Linked DNA regions of Tamandua tetradactyla. The protein of the gene in region 2 purifies or fractionates together with the protein of the main gene of each other region. This does not show direct contact. Links are inferred from orthologs where the notes say so. Each region holds a gene or a part of one and is shown on either strand. Other genes may lie near its edges.

Region 1 (7,263 bases), on a different chromosome or scaffold from region 2:
CTACCACTGAACTACCCCTATGCTTATTTTTTATCTCCAAGTATGATTATTTCTACTTGGATTGTTATATTTATTTTTACGTGAAACACCTCAAGAAATTATGTGAAGGAATTTGGATAGGGAATATATGCATACATATTAATAGTAATTGAGATTTTGATGTTTCACAAAAATGGGGAGTTTCTTTTACAATTATTAGAACGTAAGACTTTATGAAGAAAACCTAATACCAATGAAAACATCCAAGGCAAGCATGGCTTTGTGATGACATGGTCATCTTTTTCATTAACATAAGAATATGTTCTAAGTAAAAAATGTAAGTTACACAGGGACTGAAATAAACTTGGGTGTTTAGAGACAGTAGACAACAAGAGATAAAGAATAGGTTCCTAATCTCTGAAGGCACATAGTCATGAGCATGGATGGGCTATGAAACTGAGTTGACATCTGCAAAGGTGGTTTAAGGCTCTGGGAAGTTATAAAATAAACAAATGTTGGGAATAAATGAAGTACACATGAGAAAATTTCATGCAAATATATAATCAATAAATGACGATATTTGAAAATAATGTCACTAAAAAAGAGTTGGTCTTATTGATATTTTTTTATTTGTAAAAATAATACATTCCTGCTTGAAAAATGTCATAGAAATGCAAGAAGTAAAAAGTTCAAATTCCCATCTATCTACCTCTTTGCATCAACCATTTCCCAGAGATAGGCATTTGTTGGGTGTGTATCCTACTAGCTATTGTCTACAAATTTTCTATTATGAATGTATATCTATGTATCTCATCTCTATTTGTAAATCTATTTCTAGATCTGTATTTTATGCCAAAGAAAGATAGGAAACACTTTGAACACCTGATATCCATTGTGGTGAAAACAGTTTTCGGGTGATGGGCTGTGTATGGAGAACATAAATAAGCCAGATAATTACAGGCCTTGTAACAAGTTCTTCTAAGAGATTAAACATCTATTAATAAATCCTTATTATCACCACTACCATAGGTATAAAGTATTTTACAGTTTACAGAGCACTCGTATGAGATTATCTCATTTGATTCTCATAGTAATCCTTGAAGTGAGCAAAGTAAGAGTTATTATTTTCATTTACAAATGAGAAAACTGATGTCCAATGTAATGAAAGGATTTGCTTAATATCACTCCAAATCCATGTTTCACCATATCAAGTCTGGCACTGGAAAAGTCAGTGGTATTATATTAAATGCACCAAGCATCATTTTGATTATTGTTACTTAAAACAAGAATTTTTTTCTATCATAGAAACATGCAAAAGTAGAGGATAGTAAAATGAACCTTTATGTATCTATCATCCAGCTTTCACTATTATTAACCATTTGCCAATTTTCATATATATTTTTGAATATATGGAGTCTAATGTGCCGGTGATGGTCGTGGAACCACATTTGGGATATATGAGGTGTAATTTGTTCAGTGGGCTTTGGTGATATACACAATGTATTGTGTGCACAAATGCCTAGAAGTAGCTGGAGATACGCAGAACCTTGTTATCATATTAAATTTGCTTGGGCTGTTGTGATGCCTGCTCATTTATGCTCTTATCACCTTTGGTTTCACCATTGTAACCCCAGTTCCTGACACAGTGTTGTTGAATGAATGTGTTTTATTTGCAGTTTCAATTTAGACAGCATGAAGTGAAGAAGATCGTGTATAGTAGTATAACCAACCTCTGCAGAATGCTTCTTGGTGTGTTTCAGGTGCTAATTATAGCTACGATCTGTGCGTACCAGGTGCTAGGTCCTATTCTAAGTGCCTTCATGCAGTAACTCATCTGATTCTGACAAAAACCCTGTGAAGAAAAAACCATTATGATCTTTTATATTTTGTAGGTAAGTAACCAGTAATTTGGTCAAATCACATGGATAGGAAGTGGGAGATCTTGGAGTCAAAGTCCAGGCAGTGTGGCCCCAGGATCTGTGCACTTAGCCACCTCTGTTTGTTGCTCCTGTGCAATAACGTGTCTGAATATCATCTACGGGGCATTGAACACATTTGGGGTATTTGGTAGGTGGTGGTCCTACCTGTACTCCTGGATCAACTCACAAAATCACTCCTTTGCACTGGTGCCAGAGAATGGGAGAGGGTTGCACATGGAACAGAACTTTTAATTTATTTTAAACAGACTTTCTCATTTTTCATGAACACAAGGCACTTCTAAGTGCTGTGTAGGAGGGAATGTGGCAGAATGATTTCATTGAGACCCTGCCAATTTCTGGTCTTGCAACCATCAAAGACGCATCATTTCCTCAAAGACTTCTAAAGGGGGCTATTACCATGTGCCTGCAGGTTCTGGTTTGCATTTGGAGGAGACACTATCTTCCTAAGTGAGACATGGAAAAGGAAGTGTCACAAATTGTAAATAAGGTTAAGAGGCTGAGAGAGAACAATTGTTTGGACGTAAAGATGGAGAAAAATTTTCTCCAAACCAGGTACCATCTCTCTCTCTCTCTTGGCTGATTCTTTCAGAGTCCATCTTGTTTTACTTGCTAAATTTATTAGTGGGAAGAACGGAATTTTTTAAAGAATTTTCCCACAACTGCCCAAGCATGAAAACAAAATAAAAACCTCCTAGATAAATATTAGTACATCTATTCAATGTAACACCATTCCACCATTAAAAAGAATGAGATGCAGCTCTAAGGGTTAATAGAGAATGCTCTCCAAGGTATACTTTTATAAAGTGAAAACAGTCAAGGCTCAAAACAGCATTTGTACCAATGCTATCATTTATGGAAAAAAAAGGGTGATTAATCTACATATGTTCATATGTGCATAGAATTTGCTTGGAAAAAGGAAACCAGTTAAAAAGCTTGCCATTGGTGAAGGACGGTCTTTTCACTCTAAGCCTTTTTGTATTTTTCAAAATACTTTTAACCATATATACTAGTTATATTTCAAAAAAAGTTAAAATATTTCGATTGTCAACTTGGAAATAGAAGAGCAAGCAAATATTTTTAAAAAGTGGAAGAAAAGCAACATTTTAATTGTGTTTTTCAGGAGGAGGGTTTGGGACCAGATGTAGGGTCAAACAGTAATTCTACCTCTCCATCTCGCTGAAGGATGGTCCTTTCAGTTCCCATTCCTGGGAAGTAAGAGGCAGAGGGATTAGGGAGATCTTGATTTAATGAAGTTAGGGGGCATTTCATGTCACTCCCCAGGTGTGGGAAGAGATGGATAGAAAACAAGAAGGAACAATGAGGGCGGAAAAGAATGGTAGCTTCCCTCCAACCATCCAAGAAATGTACATCTGTGGTGAGAGTCGTGAGCTTTGTCCATGGAGTGTCCAGAGTACCTACCTAGCTAGGAACTTTCACTTAATTGCTCTCAGCAGAGGCTGGCCTGCTATACTTCCTTTCCCTCGGCCTCAGGGTATCTTGGCTTGGAAGTTCTCCTTTGAAAAGGGGCCTGGCCAAGGACCCAAGAAGAGTCACGCTGGGGACTGGCCGGTTAACAGGGTGGACAAAAGCCCTTTCTCAAGGAGAACCTTACGAGAGAGACGGGTGCCCCTCACGCCTTAGGTCCACCCAAGCTGGGTACCTCCACCTCCTGTGAGCCCTGATGTAGGTTTCTGGCCTGGAGCTAGGCAGGACCAAACGTGATGCTTGCAAGCTTAAATGCCTTCTGGGGCTCCGCAGTTAACTTCAAAATACTTGAAGTCGCCAGGTATAAGAGGAAATGGCAGGAACTTTTTGACTAGGAAAATGTATTTTCTGACTAACAGCATTCATATCCAGACTTTTAAACTGTGCAACTGTGCTGGCCAAACAAAATATTTCTAACTGGCTGGAGTCAGTGCCAGTTTGCGACCCCGGCTTAATATCCGCTTCTGGCTGCTTGCTCCAAACTGCGCTCAACCTCAGCTGGTCTCGCAGTTAGTTTAGAAGCGCGCTACAGCGCAAGGGTCTCGAACTTTGACGCTCGGAGCCGGTTACTGGCTTCATGTTACTTCCACCAGAAATGGAGTTGTCGCGCCCAGGACATTCTCTCCCGGGCGACTCGAGGTCTGCGTAGTCCTGTGCAGGTTGGGAGGGGAGCTGTAGTGGGCGTGGCGAGCCCGGGATCCCAGCGAGCGAGCCGGGGGAACACCAGATCCTGCGAGGTGAGGGGCGGGGCCGACAACAGAGGGGCGCCCCCCCCCAGATCCCGCCCTACCTGGCCCCGCCCCCCGCGCTCTAGAGTTTCGGCCCCAGCTCGCACCCGGCACTGAGTCCTAAGACACCGCAGAGCAGGCGGTGTTCTGCCGCTGCGTTCTCTCCACCTGCACAGGGCGTAACTGGCGTGCTGCAGAAAGCTCAGCCGGTCCCGCAGGCGGGATATTCTTTCCACCAGCTCCCGCACAGGTCTTGCCAGCCGCGCGGGGAGCCGGGGCATCCTCGCCGAGTGCGCTTCGGGGTCCTGCTCTGCGGCGCGCGTCCCGGCTCCGCGCTTTGGTGGCCGGGCAGGCCCCGGGCAAGAGAACCGACTCCCGAGTTCTGGGCACCGCGCTGGGCTCGAGGTGCAGGATGAAGAACAAGGCGCTGCTGACCATCGTGCTGTGTCTGTGCTTGGAGACCCGGGCTGTCCCCGTGGGTAAGGACCCCACTCCATGGGAGGGAGCCGAGAGGTCGGGTGCGGGTGGGTGGATGCGGATGCGGGGAGGATCTGGAGACCGATCTAAGTTTGAATCATAGAGCTGGAGAGTTGGGAGAAACTGACACATTTGTGCTGTTCCTTTTACCCAGCGGGGAGATAGACTCACAGACTGGCCCAAGATTGCCCAGCGAGGTGGTCTCCCGAGCTCTAGCGGTGTCTTTTCCAAGGCTCTGGTGTCTGACCGGGACCTCGGCTGGAGCGTGTACTGCGGGGCCGACGCACCCTCGGGCTCCTTGGCGGCGGGGCGGGAAGGCGCCAGGGGCTGACTGGCAGAAGTTACCCCGGCAGGCGGGAACACACAGTGAGAAGCTGTCCGACTGTGCGAACCGTTCTGGGGGGGACCCCGGCGGGCTTGCCAGTCCGGGAAGGAAGCCTTGCTAGGGGAGTAAGTCCTGCGGTACAGCTCACACAGTGCCCTCCGCTCTACCTCGGTGGGAGTGAAACGGGGCCACCGGCTGCCTGTTCCCTCTTCTCTCGGACAGGCACAGCCACTGTATGAGGTGGCGGGGTCCGGGAAGAGGGAAATTTTTACTCTCCATGGAGCAGGACGCCGCTCTTCTTGCAGAAAGGGGTGGGGTGTTGGGGTCTTGGTCCCGGACCCTGTCAGCTTCCCCAAGTGACTAAGCGACAACCCCCTTCCTAGGTAAAGCAGTGTTAACGTCTTTCTAAGCATTTTGGCTCCTAGGTAAGCGCAGGGTCTACCCTGTACCCAGATTTAGCGCCACTTAACATTGCGGTCCCCTTCTAGATTAGGAACCCATAACGTGCTGGATGCAATAGCTGTGTGTGTGTGTGTGTGTGTGTGTGTGTGTGTGTGTGTGTGTGTGTGCGCGCGCGCGCGCGCGCGCCCAGTTGATATTCTTTCTCCATAGCCACAGTTTACTGAGTCCCAGATTCTGTGTCTTGGAAGAGAAGGGGAGAGGGCGGAGAAAAGCAAAATCAGATGATCCAGGGACCCAACTCCTACAGAATGAATCATGTGCCCCTTATGTTGGGGTGACCACTGATGTACTTTCTTACCTCTTTTTTGAAAGGGAGAGAAAATTACTTTTAAGTGCCATCTTATACTTTGTATCAGCCAGTGCTGGAGAAATCGTGAATAACGTATGTACAAAACTTTTTTTTTTTTTTAATTTTCTATTATTTTGAAATTCTGCCTCTTTGGATTTGGGGAACACTGGCTACCCCATCTCTACAGTCTGGGCTGGCAGAATGCTGATGTTTTACAATTCTTTTCCCCACTCAGTTCCCCTCTTCTGGTGAGGTTCCTGTGAGCTCTGTTAGATGGGCATCCTGAAGCTTGTTAAAATGTACCCTCCGTTGGTGCGGTCTCTTTTGGGGGCAGATTGGGAGAAAGAGAAACCAATAATGCAACTGTTTTGATAGAAAAAATTGATAAAATGTCTTTTTGAAGTAAAGAACCAGTCCCTCTAAAAATAATAATAATAATAATTCAGGGGAAAAAATTCTTATAACGATAGAAAAAAAACACACTTAAAGAAGGCACGAGCTCAGTACTAAGATCATCTGTCCATGGTTATTGAATTTTCTTAATCGTGACTTACTTGGTTCTCCAAGCTTAGCTGTGTCACGGCCACTCATTTGTCCCTGACAAGGCCTCTCTCTCCCCCCTTATGGGAAGAGAATGAAGATCTGGAGCTTGTGGTTGGTCTGTAGCCCATAAAGAAGTGAGTTGCTTTTAAGCCTGGGGTGTTTCATAGCACAGCTGTAAGTAACTGCTGAATATAATGGTGGGGTTGCCCTTTTGGAGTGTGTGACTTACTTAATTGGATTGGGCTATAATTGGTGCCATCAAATTCTAGAGACAGAGGCACTGTTGTTTTTCCTTTCTGTCTCGAAGCTGGGGAGGGTAATAGTGCACAATTTAATTAATATGGGTTATGGGATTTGAACATAGAAGGGCTTTTTATTGAGCATATGTATCTCTTATAGCCATTTCTGTAGGATATTTTCTGAAGAATAGGACTCAAACTTGCCAAGGAAAAATGAATGAAAGTTAATGGAGCAAAGAAAAAGAAAAAACTTGAGTGTTGGTCTACAGATAAGAACTTGAAGTTATCATTATTGCTGGCCTTGTTGAATAGATTTTTGTTGTAGACAGGTCTCTAGAACAGTACAGTGTTGTCTTAACTTCTTATAGAAAAATGTCATGGAAAAGGTTTTTTCTCTCTCTTTTTAAATTTGTTTTCTTTTTTTTTTTGAATACTCTGGGGACTTTTTAAAAATTATTTTTGTATAGGAAGATGTGTCAAGAATGTGAGATGATCTGTGGCAATAATATATAAAAGATCTTCAAAATTCTCTTATTTTGATGGGGGGAAGGCTGTCATAGCTTATTTAGAGCCTTGATACTACTCCCATTTTATTCTCACACAAATGTGCCCAAATAATGAATTATTTCCTATTTGAATTATCATGTGAGTTGTATTCAGTTGTTGTTATTGACATTTTTCTCAAGCTCGCATTTCCCAGTCAAATTTGAAACTTTTGCTCATTCAGATGAAATGTTTTCATTTTCATTTTCTTTGGAAAATGGGCTCCCTTATTGGAAGGCTTTTTTTCTTTTGC
Region 2 (7,959 bases):
TACAGCTCAGGCCAGGCCCGGGCCCTGCAGCTCTCCCTGCTCCCTCCTGGATATGCCTCCTGAGGTGGGGGTAACCCAGGAGGGCTTGCATTCTGCCTGGGTTTGCACTCAAGGCTCTGCCCTACCTCACTGGCGCCTCTAGGAGCCTCGGTGTCCTCTTCTGTGCAATGGGGAGAACAATGGCTCCGAGCTCCTGGAGCTGTGTCTAGACCAGTGCCCCTCACCGGGGCCCCAGTCCTGGGTGAGCTCTATCGCTGTGATTAGTTTTACAATAATTCTTTCAAGCTCTCTGATCGCAGACAATCTCGGCTCTGCCCGAGGTTTCTAACCCCCTCCAGTCTGGAATCAGATCTTTGGCTTCAGATTTCCTCCCGCCCTTTGCCCTCAAGGGCAGATCAAAGTCCCCGAATCCTTTCATCTTTTCTCACAAAACTTCTGGGATGTGGCTGAAGGAGGCCTGGGTGTGGGGGAAGGGGGCCTGGCTTTGCCTGTCAGTGACTCTGTGTGATTTCGGGAGACCATCTGTCCCTCTCTGGGCCTCTACCACAGCCTTAGGGGGTTGGGGTGAAGAGTCACTGAGTTTTTTGGCAGTTGACCTTTGCACCAGCCTAGGGATCTGCTGTCTTTTCTGCCTGTGACATCCCTGTTTCGTCTCCAGACTTTGGCACTTGCTCCTCAGGCTTCCTGGCTGGGCAGTAGCCAAAAGCCCCAGGCGAAGCAGCGGCAATCTGCAATCAGTGCTATCACGGGGATGTCCTCAGTCGGGCCCCACTTGCTGAGATGCACGTCTCCATCCCTCCCCGCTGGACACTGGAGGATGCGCTCACCTGCTCCTGGCTCCTTCTGACTCTCATGGGGCTGGTGATGCGTCCCCCCTGGCCTCACGCCCTGGGATACAGGCAGGTGCCCGTGTGCACACGCCCATGTAAGTCAAGAGCTCTGCCTCAGTCGGGTCCGCTGTGGCCTCCATCCGCACTGGGGCCTCATGTCTACCCTCCTTCTGCCCCTCAATCCATCCTCCACTCGGTGGCAGCCCCTGAAGGACACATCTCTCTGCACTCTCCTCAGGGCTCACCCCAACCCCCCTTCCCCTGGTTCCCAGCACATCCACTGTGTTGGGCTCCATCAGCCCCGCTCTGCTCGTAGTTCCAAACACTGCAGTGTTTCATACTGTTCCTTCTGCCTGGAACACCCTTCCAGTCCCATTTTCACCTGGCAGCCATTTCCTCGGGCTTCTCTTGCTGGATAACCCTCTCCTTTCACCAGCTGGGTTAGGGGCTCCTCTAGCCCCATGCTGGTCACACTTCCCAGCTTCTCCAGGCTGTGAGCTCCTCCAAACCTAGCCCAGACCCTGGTGTATAGTAGGTGCTCAATAAATACTGATTGAACGGAGGAAGGAGGAGTAAGGCTTAGCCAGGGTTTTGGGGGAGGGAACATTCCAGGTAGAGAGACCAGCAGGTGCCAAGGCCTCAGGGCACGATGGGGGAACAGCAAGGAGGCAGGCTTGGCGGAGCAAGGGAAGGAGTCCAGGGGCTGCATGTGAGGCCGGATGTGGCTGATGCACTGATGAATCAGACGTCTCTCTGTGAACCATGAAGTCCAGTGCCGTGGGAGGTGCCTAGCCCTTCCCCAGCCTCAGGCTGGAGCCTGCCCACCCCTCCACCCTATCCCCCAGCCCTGGGCTGGTGGCTACAGACAGACAACTCACAGCATACCATCTGGGGAATGACAGGGCTGGTCTGGAATTTCCCACTGAGTGCCTGTGATGGATCCAACCTCCTAGTAGATGTTCCAAGGGGCTGGGCGTGGCACGTAGATTGCCATTGGGCCCTGGGTGACATGTGGGCGGGACCCCTGACCTCATGTCACGGAAGGCTCTGGCCCATGGATCTGCCACCAGCCACATGGACCAGACCACACTGTCCATCCTACCCTCCCTTGGCTGTGGCTTGGATCAGGCTGCAGTGGGCGAAAGGGAAGAAGACAAAAAGTCCAGAGTCCACGGACTGCACACCACCAGCTCTCATCACCTCAACATCATCTGTCATCTGCTGGGTGCTCTGTGTTGGGAGATTGGCCCTGCTGGTGCCCCAGGCTTGGCCCCGGGCTGGGTATATAGTTGGTGGTCAGTAAATGTTTGCTGTCTATTGAGGATGATGGATAATTTGCTGGTGTTAAGCTATGAGTTGCTATTTTACTAACCAATAGACTATTTTAAGCAAAACAATGCTCAAAGAGACCCTTACATATGTCCAGGCCACACCAGCAACTCTCCCCTCAGCATACTCCTCAAGCTGGGAAGTTGGATTTTGCCCCCATTTTACTGGTGAGTAAACTGAGATCCAGAGAGGGCTGGGTCACATAGTCAGTGAATGAAAGGTCCGGAACTTTAACTCCCATCTGTGGATCCCAAGTCAGCATGTCCTCAAACAGCTGGGCCACGGTCCCTGCTGTCCGGGTGGCATCCCTGAGTGGACGTGGGGGTACACCTCCACCCCTCCAGCAGGAATGTGCAGGCAGCTCGTTCTGGAGACGGTGGCACTGACATAGGGCCTTGAAGGGTTGGGAAGCTGGAAATATGGGGCAAACATTTCTGACGGGGTCACAGTCTGAGCAAAAGGCCCAGAGAAACGGTTGAAACTAATGAGGGATCTAAACACTCTCAGCACTTCAGATACCCAATAATGAAACCATCGTACTGGCCACATCCTCCAAGGGCGCCTCTTGAGACCCTCAGCTGCTGAGCCGGGCTCTTGAAACCAGCGATGACTCCAGGTGGCAGCTGCGTCTATGCCTGCAGCACCAAGGCTTGTCCAAGTCAGCTGCCCCCTCTCACCCACGAGAGAGTGCAGGGCTATGAATAACGGTGACAGCCCCCACACACTGAGCACGCCTCACCTGGTTTCATCCTCATGCAAGCCCTCTGGGGGAAGCACTATCGTTTTGCAGATTGGCACAGTGCGTCTCAGAGAAATGGTATGCCCAAGGTCATGTAGGCGAGACGATGCAGTTAGGACCTGAACTCAGCTCCATAGGTGCAAAGCCTGTGCTTTTAAGCCCTCTGTCAGCATAGCCCCAGAAGAAGCCCAGAACTTTCTGTTAAACTCCTGGGGATGGATCCAGTGACACATTGGTAAGTATTTAACAACCTGCTCTCTCGGGTAAGAAACCTTGATTTGTAGCATTTGCCAATTTTCAGGGCGTAACTATTCCCACCATAGCTAATATCAAGCTACCGGCGTGACATCATTAAACATGGAGCTGGGAAGAGACGTACACCATTGGCTCTTGCCAGAGATGGACACAATTGGTAAGAACCAGCCTCTGCACACCACTGGATGAATATCCTACCTCTAGTCCAGTGTGGCAAAAGTAAAGCCTTTCAGCAATGTCTGAGGAGTGAATCAGGCCTGAGAAACCTGCTCCTCCAGCCAGGGGCCCACCAGGAGTTCGGGGAAGCTGCAATTAATCTTTAAAAGCGCAGCCATTTTTGCAGCCCAGGCTGGCTTCTGGCACTAACTCTGCTGCTGATTTGTGCTGGGACCTCGGCCACCCCCTACCCCTCTGGCCTCAGTTCACCAACCACAACAGCGACCATATTTTGAGCACTGCTGTGGCCACCTCACACTTAGTTCCGGGAGCCCTCGGTGGCCATGCTCAGTCCTGCCTTACAAGGAAGGGGACTGGGCTGGAGAAGGTAATGGGCTTGTACAAGGGCCCACTGCAGGTGGCAACCAGCTTAGATTTGCGCCCAGATCAGTCTGGCTTAAGGACTTGCTCATTCTTGGTCTCCTGGAAGCTATTTTATACCCTCAGGGCTTTGCGTCCCACATTCTAGGGCTCTCCCCAGCTCCTCTCAGCAGGGACCTCTTTCCGGGGGGAGAAGCCCATATCTGGTGACACTTTGATCTGGATGGGCCTTAGTTTCCCGTCTGTGAAATGGGAGAACTTTCAGAAGAGGAAAACAGTGGCAGGTATTTAAAACTGGATCCACTTGCCCCTGGTGCCATAATTCCAGGAGGTCAGGTGGGGAGCCAGTGGGAGTGATGGTGGGGGGTCTCCACTTGAAACAGGGCATGCTTGGAGCCTGGGCCAGGGGATGGGAGGGGTCAGGTGGGGTTGGAGAGTGGTTGGGGAGGCTTTGTGGCTTAAAGCAGAATTTCCTCAACGTCCCATTTCCTGCCCACTGCGTCCAGAGTTACTTAGCTTCTTTATTTACTTGGAAGTGTAACGGTCACGTAAATACCAGCTTCAGCCCCCTCCTAAGCGGTAGTATCATGAACTCCCTGGTCTGATGGGCTGCCATAGTTATAGTTTATTTTATACACATTAAAATGAATACAAATTTATTAAAAGTTTCTCCTCTCTGCACTGCCTCACCTGCCCAGGTCCCCACTTTCGGGAACAGTTCAAGGCAGGAGTCCAAGGCCTGGTTTCCTGTCTGGTGACCCCTTCTTGCCCTCAGTTTTGTCATCTGTAAAATGGGGATAATCATAGCACTGCCCCGCCCACCTTTTAGGAAAAGATCCTAGAGTCTCCTGGACCCTTGACATGGTGCCTGGCAAGAGATTGTGCTCCATTAGTGCCACTATTATTATCATTACCAATAATAACTGCGGGAGAGGAGGTCAGGAGGGTGGTAGGTAGGGTGGGTGGGTTGCGGGAATCAGGGAAGGCATTTTGCCCAGGGGGAGAATGGGGACCCTGTCACTGCACCGAGTGGGGGGCGTTCCTCTGTGCCCGAGGCCCCAGTCCACCCGGCTCCGCCACGACCCTGGCTTGGGCCGGCCATAGGTGTATCCCAGGTCACCGGCGGGAATCGGTCCCCGCGTGCTTCCTCCTTCCTCATCTCCCGGCGACCTGCCGGGCCCCTCCTCCGCGCTCGCGCTCCCTCCCCCTCTTCCCCTCCCCGGGCCACCGCCTCCTCGCCTCCTCCTCCTCCTCCCTTTCTCTTTCGGTCTGGCTCTCCCGGCCCGGAATCCATTCCGGCCTGGGAGCCGGAGCGGCCAGGCCGCTGTCTGTCCGACCCCGTGGCCGTGCGGCGGTCAGCCCTCCCGTGCGTCCGTCTGCCGGTGCGTGCGCCCGGCCGCCTGCCGGCCCAGGTGAGTGGCCCCCGCCTCTCCGCGGGCCCCCAACCCCGGCCGGCGTGGGGGAGCCGCCGCCCCGGGACCAGCCCGGCGTCGGTCGGCCGGGCCGCGGGGGGCCCCTGTCCCCCCTCCCGGGCCTCCCCGATCCCCCAGGCCGGGCCGCGGGGCCGGAGCGCACGGCGGGCGCGCGGGGACCTGCCGGCGCGGCCTTTTGTTAGGATGCCGCGGGGCGGGGGCGGGGCGGGGGCTGGGCGGGGGGCGCGGGGGTCCTGGGCGCGCAGGGACCCCCTTCCACGCACCCTCTCCCCGCGAGCCTTGCCCAGGGTCGGACGAGCGGGGCCCGAGCCTCCCGACCGGGTCTAGGCCAAATCTGAAATCTGAGCCTGTCGGCGCCGCCTCCGGCCCAGCTGCCCAGCCCGGAGCCCCCGGCCCAGGGTGGGGAGGTGAGGCCGCGGGAGGGGCTGCCGGGGACGGGGCACCGGGCCCTGGGCTCCGGGAGCCAGGACCTCCGGGTCCTCGTGGGGCCTGCGGTCAGGCCTGGGCCAGGCTAGGCTTGGTCCCGGCTGCCCCCAGCCCCCAGCCTCGCCCAGGGCAGGCCCAGCAGCCCACTGGCTGAGAAGTTGGCAGAAGTTTTGGGTGTCCTGCTGTCTGATGGGTCCATCTGCCTACCTGGACCAGGGATGAAGCTGAGCTGGGATGGGTCCTTGCCCAACTGTGTGTCTTCAGGCAAACTGCCTGCCCTCTCTGAGCCCGCATCCTCATCAGTGGCAGGTGGGCCTGGCTGCATTGCTGGGCTGGTGAGAGGATGGGAGATGTACAGAAGGGGCTCACCTCTGAGGTGTCAGTCCAACCTCTGGGACCTTCAGGCAGATCTGGGAGTGGGCAGAGCGTGTGTGGCCCTGGGCAAGGCTTCCTGGGCCTCAAGGGCTGACTGTGAATGGGGACAGTGGTCTCTGGGTCATCTGCCATGAAACCTGGTCCAGCCACGATGTCACGATGTCACTGGATGGGCCAGGCTGATCCTGGGGTGGGGGAGGGGCGGGGAGCACTGGCTGGGATACTTCTTGTCTCACTGGGTGACTTGGGCCACACACGCTTTGCCTCTCCAAGTCCCTGTATGCAAAACAGGGGTGCCAGGGGGTTCTATGAACTTCTGCACGTAGGTGCTCAATAAGTGAGCACTTTTCTCAATGAATGCTCTAAGAAAGGTGGGTGGGAGGGAGGTTGCTGACCCAATTGGGTCTCATATGCCCAGGAGAGTAGACTGGTCCTTGAAAATCTGCCTCATAACCTCTTGAGAAAGAAACACCCCAGCCTAGTCCTACCACCCAGCAGCTGTGTGACTTTAGGCGACTCAGTGCTCTCTCTGGCTCTGTTTTGCCAACTATAAAATGGGATGGCAGTTACGGCAGCCAGTGCCTTCTGTGAGATAGCAACTTTTATTTATCCTGTCTGCTGTTGGGGAAACTGAGGCTTAGAGGCGGAGAAGTGATTTGACCAAGGCCACACAACCGGGAACTGGGATTAGAACTCAGACCTTGAAGACCCCAGTCTGGCTGCCCTGGTACCCCTCCAGTGATGGGAGAGCAGGGGGTGCCTAGCACGGGGCCAGGCTCCTAGCAGTTTAGGGGAAGGCTTTGCCGAGGAGTGATTGAATGGAAGCCATGAGGCCCTTTTGGGCCTGCCAAGGTGATGTTGTCTTTCCACCCGCGGAAATGATTTATAGTGTGTCACTTCTATCAGCTGACTGACTGCCCAGGCCCTCCTGTGTGGCCCCTGGGCCTTTGCTCCTGAAGGCCTCCTGCCAGGGGTGCCTTCTCTGTAAGCTGCTTATCTGCCCATGCTCTTCAAGGCTTAGCTGACGGCCCACTCTGCTGGGAAGGACCCCCCACCCCCACCCCACCTCTCCCTGCCCCAGCCTCCTCCTGGAGCAGGAATGACCTCCGGTGCACTGCCTAGCTCCTGCTTTTGCTTGTTCCCTGATCGTGGCCTGGAGAGGAGGGCGTAAGGGGAGGTGTCTGGCTTCCCCAAGCTCCCCAGGGACCACGGAGGAGAGGGCTGCCGGGGCAAGCACCCCATCCTCCCGGTCCCTAGTTGACCCCACTTTCTCAAACCTTCCCAGATATAAGCACCCGTGACCCCATACTGAGCACCTACTATGAATTAGGAGCTTATGACTGAGGCTGAGCAGTGCTGTGATGGAGCTGGCAGTGGGAGCTGTGGGAGGCATCAGGAGGCTTCCAGGAGGTGGCGGGCCTGAGCTGAGCGGGCATCAGCAGTTCACCCAACAAAGCAGCAGAGACTGTTCTCTTTCTTCCTTTCTGCTCAGGCATCTCCCAGGTTTGGGGGAGAGATCAGCCTGGGTGGGTTCTTGCTGGGGGATTGTGAGCAAGTCCCTGGCGTCCCAGAAATTTGAGTCTGGAGGGGGAGCCAAATAGCAAACAAGTTGCCTAATAAATAAATAAATATACAAAACCACAGATTGTGATAAGGGCTGTGAGGGGAAGGCCTGGGGTGCAGAAGCATCTGGAAGGATACATGGAGAAGTTGGCCAGTTGTGGAGCTTGGGGAAGGGCGTGCCAGGCAGCAGGAACTGCATGTGCAAAGGCCCTGAGGTGGGGGAGTGTGGGCTGTTGAGGAGGAAAAATGGGAAAGCCTGTGATGCTGGAGCAGAGGGAATAAGGAGCAGATGAGAGGTAAAATAAGGGGGGTATGATCAGCAGGGCTGGATCACCAGGGCCTCGTGGGCCTTGTGGGCTTCGGGGAAGAGTTTGGTTTTCATGTTCCTGCAGGAGGCTAATTGGTGTCCCCTCTTTGCCCAGCCCCGTGCTAGGGGCCAGGCATACAGTGCTGCCCAAGGCACCCGGTGGAA
Region 3 (7,607 bases), on a different chromosome or scaffold from region 2:
GTGTAACCATCACACTGGCAGGACTTCCAAAGTACAGCCAGGCACTCAGTCTGAACTGTATTCACACTCACCCAGATCTTGATGCTGGGGCCCGTGGCAGCACAGAGCCAGTAGCGGTTGGGGCTGAAGCAGAGGGCATTGATGATATCCCCGCCGTCCAGCGTGTAGAGGTGCTTGCCTTCGTTTAGGTCCCACAGCATGGCCTGGCCATCCTGGAAGACACCACTGGGTCACTGTGACTGTTCCCGGAAATCAACTCCATTTCCCAATGTTTTGTCCTAATCAACTCTTAAGCCCCCCTACCCCCTTTCCCAAGCTTCCTGTAAGCAAACGCCTCAAAGTGTCCCCTGCGAAAGGCATGTTCAGCCTCCCCCACCCCCCACTTTAAGAGTAGGAGGCCCCTGGCTCCTGAATACCTTGCCTCCAGAAGCACAGAGGGATCCATCTGGAGAGACAGTGACAGTGTTCAGGTAGCCCGTGTGGCCAATATGGTTGGTCTTCAGCTTACAGTTAGCCAGGTTCCATACCTAAAAAGAGGGGCAGAGGACCCACAGGTGAGGAAGCCGGCTTGGGGCCTAACATGATACCTTATTTGAAAACATTCCTGGGAGGAATGACCATCATTTATCAGTAAAAAGAGGTTGAAGAATTTCTCTTGGCCACTTAAAGACAACTGGGTTTTAAAACAGTTACTAAATGCTGTGTGGAGTCTTACAAAGGCTCTGGGCTCAAACTACTCCATACTTTTCCCCTCTTGCTATTAATACCAGAAATTTATGGCCGGAATTGGAAAAACAACAGCCAAAGGAAAAAAAGTCAATTAAAGGAACCTACAAAGTATTCAGAGCTGGAGCCCACACCCACCTGTCCCCTGGCCCCAAGCGCACCTTGACCAGCTTGTCCCAGCCGCAGGAAACGATGATGGGGTTGCTGCTGTTGGGCGAGAAGCGGACACAAGACACCCACTCTGAGTGGCTCTCATCCTACAGATGGAAAGGAAGCAAAGGGAAACCATCCCATGACATAAAATTCTAACTGCCCCAGCCTTCCCTCAGCCGTGTGGGGTGGGTGTCGGCAGCCTTATATCCTCCTCCCCAGAACTTTTAGGCTCCTGGCATAAGACAAGGAGAAATGGAAGAGGAGGAGCTCCAACACCTGCACCAGGCTCCCGACCAATGCCTCTGCTTTACCTGGACTGTGTACTTGCAGACTCCCAAAGTGTTCCACAGCTTGATGGTCTTGTCTCGGGAGCCAGAGACAATCTGCCGGTTGTCAGAGGAGAAAGCCACACTCAGCACATCCTTAGTGTGGCCTACAAACCGGCGTGTGGTGGTGCCCCTGGGAGGGAGGACATGGTCACTCTCTAAGCAGAGCCTGCAAACGGTCTCTCCACAGTTTCGTCATGTCCTGTCTCAGTGGTGAATTACCCCCCAATGCCACACACAGTCCCGACCACAAGTCCCTGGCTGAGTCTATGCGAGAGAACCCCCTCAGAATTGCAGGACATGTCCTCATGCCCCATGGGGATAGGTGGACAATGTCGTCTGTCATCACCAGGGTCCTCCATGACCCCTGCCACGTGCCCAACCACACCGAGGTGCCAGGCCAAGATACTCAGACCGCTCCCCAGCAAGACTCAGGTGAGTAACCCCGACATGACCTCCTTTACTCTACCCACTTCTCCCTACCACCTCTACTTCACTTTGCCCAGCTCTTCCCCAAGGCCCCAGGTCTAAGTGAGCAGCTACTTGCGTTGTGAGATCCCAGAGGCGCAGGGTTCCATCCCAGGAGCCTGAGAGGGCAAACTGGCCATCCGAGGAGATGACCACATCACTGACAAAGTGAGAGTGACCCCGCAGAGCACGCTGGGGAATACCATAGTTGGTCTCGTCTCTGGTCAGCTTCCACATGATGATGGTCTTGTCTAGAGAGAAAACCGAAATGGACACTCAGCCGCCTCAATCCTCGCCATCCTGCCGGTCTCCAGCCTCCTCACTGACCTACGGGCTAACCCGGACATCTCAAGGTCACAGAGGGCTCACAAAATGACAAATTAGAGTCAGGTGAGGGGGAAGGGAGTCCGCAAGCCAAGACAAGTTCACTAACCCAGAGTAAGGCCAAGCTGTGCATGAGATTCCGTCAGGTGTACAGAACTCCGAATGCGACGACGGATGTCCTTTTCTGGGACCCGAACCCATTAAGACATTTATCTCCTATCTGGTCTGAGCTCTAACGACTTGTGGACCTTTCTGCAACCGCTGGAAATGCTGCTCGGGCGCTGCCAGCCCGCAGGCTTTCCTGCACGCGCGTGCCCGGCACTAAGGCTCACCACTAAGCACCAGCAGCAGGTCGAGTCCCAGCTGCCTCCTAACCACCTGGGCGCTCTCAGAAGGCACGGGAAGCCCCCGACGCTGCGGGCCCACAGGGAGGGCAAAAGCCAAGGAGGGCCGAGGGGGCAAAGGGCAGGGCGGACGGGCACGAGGCCCCTGTGAGCCCACCCCTCCCTAGCAGGGCCCGGCGGCAGCTCAGAAACAGCCTCTGGGTCTCAGCACGGGCGCTCAGATGGCATGTTGGGATCATCACCGCTCCGCCCGGGCCCCGAGGGACAGGAAATGGGACACCCCCCACCCCCGCCAATGCTCCCGCAGGCCAAGGGCCGAGTCACGTCCCCCTCTGCAAAACGCGGGCGGCGCGCGGAGTTACACCGGACGGAGTGGGGCCCTGGGTCCGCCGCGAGCGAACGCCGTCCCCACCCGGCCCCCGCACCTCAGCTCGTACCTCGCGAAGCTGACAGGATCATGTCCGGGAACTGCGGAGTAGTAGCGATCTGGGTCACCCAGCCGTTGTGGCCCTTCAGGGTGCCACGGAGAGTCATCTGCTCAGTCATGGCGGCGGCGGGTGTCGAGGTCGCCGCAGCGACGAGGATGGCACCGGATGGTCCGGAGAGCCGAGAACCACAACCGAGACAGCCACTGCCCCGCCGTGAAAAAGGAAGAGCACCGCGCCACCGGAACCGGAAATAACCTCCCGCCCGGCCAAAATGGCGGCTCCCGCGAGTCACTTCCGTCAAAGATGGCGGCGCCATTTAGAGCACAGGGCATCATGGTTCCCTCCATAATTTGACAGAGCCGTACAAGTAGTTTCTGAAGCTAACGCGACTAAGGGTTTGAAAGGGCTCCTCTTGTTTCATCCTCTAGGTTTCCTTGTAGTGCCACACATGACCCTAAACATGGGATTGTAAAACACACAGTTGTGGACGATGACTTGATTAATGATATAAATAGAAGAATGTTTTTCCATGAATAAGAAAGTCACTGTTACAAAGAGTTAAGAATAGGGTGGCATAAACGGAAAAAATACACCCGATGCAAATTATGCGCTATAGTTAGCAGTAATTACGATTCTTCCATGAGTTGTGAGAAAGGTACCACACTGAAGCTAAGTGTCAATCATAGGGGTCTCAAAAGGGCATGGATTTTTTTTTCCTTTTTAGCAGTAATGAAAATGCTCCAAAATTGTGTTGACGAACGTACAACTCTGAAAGTATACTGTGAGCCATTGATTGCCCATGTTGGTTAGCTTGTATGGTGTGTGAATAAAACAACTTAAAAAAAAATACATCTCCTAAACTCTGTGAGTAAACTCATTACCCTCTCCTCTATGTGGGGCATGACATCCAGGGGTGAGTCTCCCTGACAAGGTGGGACATGACTCCTAGGGATGAGCCTGGCCCTAGCACATGGGATCAGCAATGCCTTCCTGACCAAAAGGGGGACAAGAAATGTAACAAAATAAAATATCAGTGACTAAGAGTGTTGAAATAGAGTTAAGAGGCTATTCCGAACACTACTCTTATGCAAATTTCTGCTAGATATAGCTAATTGCCATGGTATGCCAAACCCAAACCAAAACCATTCCTGTTTACCCTAAAGAACACCTAGGGCTCTAACTGAGATTACTTTCCAGAAACCTACACCCTCCTGGTTCCTACGCCAGATAAGTCCTGAAATCAGAGAGCCTAGCCTCTCCAGAACATCGACTAGTTCTATCCCCATGTCCCATATTATTGACAGCCTTTTCCAACATGAAAAAGTTAGAATGGGCTTAGCCCAAATACCCTTAAAGACTGGAAGAAAGATCAAAGGAGAAGGAGGAATTATAACAGAGAAGATAGGGTTTAACAAAGGAATATAACTGGTGGTTCCACAGGAGGCTAGGGGTGGGGTTGCCATATGATCCTTCAATGCTATTGCTCAATATATACCTGGAGGAACTGAGTGTGGGTACAGGAATGGACATCGTACCCTGGGGTTCATGGCGGCAGTGTTTGGGATTCACAATGGAGGAGGCCTGTGCTGGTTTGAATCTGTGGTGGACCCCAGAAAAGCCATGTCCTTTAATTCTCATTCAGTATTGCTGGGTGAGAGCGTTTTGATTGTTTCCATGGAGCTGTGACCCTCCCAATTGTGGGTAGTAACTTTTGATTAGATGGCTTCCATGGAGTTGTGACTGTACTTATTCCAGGTGGGTCTTGATTAGTTCATTGGAATCCTTTAAAAAGGAAACATTTTGGAGAGAGTCCCTTTTTTATTTTTATTTATTTTTTAACTTTTTTTATTAATTAAAAAAATTAAACAAAACATTAAGATATCATTCCATTCTACATATACAATCGGTAATTCTTAATATCATCATATAGTTGCATGTTCATCATTTCTTAGAACATTTGCATCGATCTGGAAAAAGAAATAAAAAGACAACAGAAAAAGAAATAAAACGATAACAGAGAAAAAAAATTATACATACCATACCCCTTACCCCTCGCTTTCATTTACCACTAGCATTTCAAACTAAATTTGTTTTAACATTTGTTCCCCCTATTATTTATTTTTATTCCATATGTTCTACTCTTCTGTTGCTATAGTAGCTAAAAGGGGCATCAGACACAAGGTTTTCACATTCACAGAGTCTCATTGTGAAAACTATATCATTGTTCAATCATCATCAAGAAACATGGCTACTGGAACACAGCTCTACATTTTCAGGCAGTTCCCTCCTGCCTCTCCGCTACGTCTTGAACAACAAGGTGATATCTACTTAATGAATAAGAATAACCTCCAGGATAACCTCTCAACTCTGTTTGGAATCTCTCAGCCATTGACACTTAGTCTCATTTCATTCTTCCCCCTTTGGTCGAGAAGGTTCTCTCAATCCCTTGATGTTAATTCTCAGCTTATTCTAGGGTTTTCCCAGTCCCTTGATGCTGAGTCTCAGGTCATTCCAGGATCTCTGTCCCACGTTGCCAGGAAGGTCCACACCTCTGGGAGTCATGTCCCATGCAGAGAGGGGGAGGGTGGTGAGACTGCTCGTCATGTTGGCTGGAGAGAGAGACCACATCTGAGCAACAAAAGAGGCTCTCTTGGGGGTGACTCTTAGGCCTAAATTTTAAGCAGACTTGACCTATCCTTTGTGGGGTTAAGTTTCATATGAACACACCCCAAGACTGGGGGCTCAGCCTATGGCTTTGGTTGTCCACACTGCTTGTGAGAATATCAAGAATTCAACTTGGGGAAGTTGAATTTCTCCCCACTCTCACCATTCCCCGAAGGGGGCTTGCAAATACATTTCCAGTCACTGATCAAATCACTCTGGGATTCATCGGGGCATCACTCTGGACAAACCAACGAAATCTCATGTCCTACCTGAGATTCCAAGTACTTATGACATTCAATCAAACTATCTACACGAGTTATATTAGGAAATGCTCTAGTCGAAATATAAATTTTGTAACAAACATTTTTTGCTTTAGTCTCACACATAAGGTGATATTTTTAAGTATTATCATCTGTTTTCAGCACCCTGCAATAGTGACGTTCCTTTGTTCTTCCTCATGCAAAAACATTTTTAAAATTTGTACATTGTACATTTCACTATTATTATACACTCTAGGCATTCCTAAGATTATATCATCTCGATCTTTAACATCTATCTTTCTTTCTGATTTTATTTATGTCCCCAGCCCTCCTCCCTCTGTCATTCTCACATGCAGCTTCATTCAGTGTTTTAACATAATTACATTACAGTTAGGTAGTATTGTGCTGTCCATTTCTGAGTTTTTATATTCAGTCCTGTTGCACAATCTGTATTCCTTCAGCTCCAATTACCCAATATCTCACCCTATTTCTATCTCCTGATGGTCTCTGTTACCAAGGAAATATTCCAAGTTTATTCACTAATGTCAGTTCATATCAGTGAGACCATACAGTATTTGTCCTTTCGTTTCTGGCTAATCACACTCAGCATAATGTCCTTAAGGTCCATTCATGTTGTTACATACTTCATAACTTTATTTTGTCGTACAGCTGCATAATATTCCATCTTATGTAAATGTCACAGTTTGTTTAGTCAACTGTCTGTTGATGGACATTTTGGCTGTTTCCATCTCTTGGTAATTGTTAATAATTTTGCTATAAATATTGGTGTGTAAATGTCCATTTGTGTCCTTGGCCTTGTGTCCTTTGAGTAGAGACAGCATATAGATGGGTCCTGTTTTTTAATCCATTCTGCCAGAGTGTGTCTTTTGATTGGAGAGTTTAACCATTAATATTCAGTGTTATTACTGCATGGGTAGTACTTTCTTCTACTATTTTGCCTTCTGGATTTTATATGTCATATCTAATTTTCCTTCTTTTTACTTTTACTCATAGTCTTCATTTCTACACTCTTCTCCATGCCTCTCTCTTCTGTCTTCATATCTGTCTCTAGTGTTCCCTTTAGTATTTCTTGCAGAGCTGGTCTCTTGGTCACAAATTCTCTCAGTGGTTTTTTGTCTGAAAATGTTTTAATTTCTCCCTCATTTTTGAAGAACAGTTTTGCTGGATATAGAATTCTTGGTTGGCAGTTTTTATCTTTTAATAATTTAAATATATTATCCCACTGTCTTCTCACCTCCATGGTTTCTGTTGAGAAATCTGTGCATAGTCTTATTGGGCTTCCCTTGAATGTGATGGATTGCTTTTCTCTTGCTGCTTTCAAGATCCTCTCTTTCTCTTTGACCTCTGACATTCTGATTAGTAAATGTCTTGGAATATGTCTATTTGGATCTATTCTCTTTGGGGTACGCTGCCCTTCTTGGATCTGTAATTTTAAGTCTTTCATAAGAGTTGGGAAATTTTCAGTGATAATTTACTCCATTAGTTTTTCTCCTCCTTTTCCCTTCCCTTCTCCTTCTGGGATACCCACAACACATATATTCATGAGCTTCATATTGTCTTTCAATTCCCTGAGTCCCTGATCATATTTTTCCTTTTTTTTTTCCCTATAGTTTCTGTTTCTTGTCGGATTTCAGATGTTCCGTCCTCCAGTTTTGAAATCCTATGTTCTGTCTCTTGAAATCTACCATTGTAGGTTTCCATTGTTTTTTTCATCTCTTCTACTGTGTCTTTCATTCCCATAAGTTCTGTGATTTGTTTTTTCAGACTTTCAGTTTCTTCTTTTTGTTCTTTCCTTGCCTTCTTTATATCCTCCCTCAATTCATTGATTTGGTTTTTGATGAGGTTTTCCATGTCTGTTCGTACATTCTGAATTAATTGTGTCAGTTCCTGTAT

What was found. The genes of interacting proteins can lie anywhere in the genome.
Region 1: the proteins of SRC (region 2) and KDR purify together in Homo sapiens (co-immunoprecipitation; 5 studies listed by BioGRID and IntAct, with this or other methods). This does not show direct contact. The link is inferred for Tamandua tetradactyla from reciprocal best matches to the Homo sapiens genes SRC and KDR.
Region 3: the proteins of SRC (region 2) and RACK1 purify together in Homo sapiens (affinity purification with western blotting; 4 studies listed by BioGRID, with this or other methods). This does not show direct contact. The link is inferred for Tamandua tetradactyla from reciprocal best matches to the Homo sapiens genes SRC and RACK1.

Annotation. Positions count from the first base shown.
Region 1 is NC_135345.1:55,464,962-55,472,224, reverse strand, and holds the start of KDR (vascular endothelial growth factor receptor 2), read left to right. Parts: upstream 1-4,260; 5' UTR 4,261-4,544; coding exon 4,545-4,611; intron 4,612-5,758; exon of another isoform or gene 5,759-5,778; intron 5,779-6,383; exon of another isoform or gene 6,384-6,402; intron 6,403-7,263. UniProt on the Homo sapiens protein: Tyrosine-protein kinase that acts as a cell-surface receptor for VEGFA, VEGFC and VEGFD. Plays an essential role in the regulation of angiogenesis, vascular development, vascular permeability, and embryonic hematopoiesis.
Region 2 is NC_135327.1:14,867,416-14,875,374, reverse strand, and holds the start of SRC (proto-oncogene tyrosine-protein kinase Src), read left to right. Parts: upstream 1-4,950; 5' UTR 4,951-5,102; intron 5,103-7,959. UniProt on the Homo sapiens protein: Non-receptor protein tyrosine kinase which is activated following engagement of many different classes of cellular receptors including immune response receptors, integrins and other adhesion receptors, receptor protein tyrosine kinases, G protein-coupled receptors as well as cytokine receptors.
Region 3 is NC_135346.1:3,339,120-3,346,726, forward strand, and holds the start of RACK1 (small ribosomal subunit protein RACK1), read right to left. Parts: upstream 3,004-7,607; 5' UTR 2,888-3,003; coding exon 2,779-2,887; intron 2,590-2,778; exon of another isoform or gene 2,522-2,589; intron 1,925-2,521; coding exon 1,753-1,924; intron 1,562-1,752; exon of another isoform or gene 1,484-1,561; intron 1,339-1,483; coding exon 1,191-1,338; intron 984-1,190; coding exon 888-983; intron 528-887; coding exon 417-527; intron 213-416; coding exon 72-212; intron 1-71. UniProt on the Homo sapiens protein: Scaffolding protein involved in the recruitment, assembly and/or regulation of a variety of signaling molecules. Interacts with a wide variety of proteins and plays a role in many cellular processes.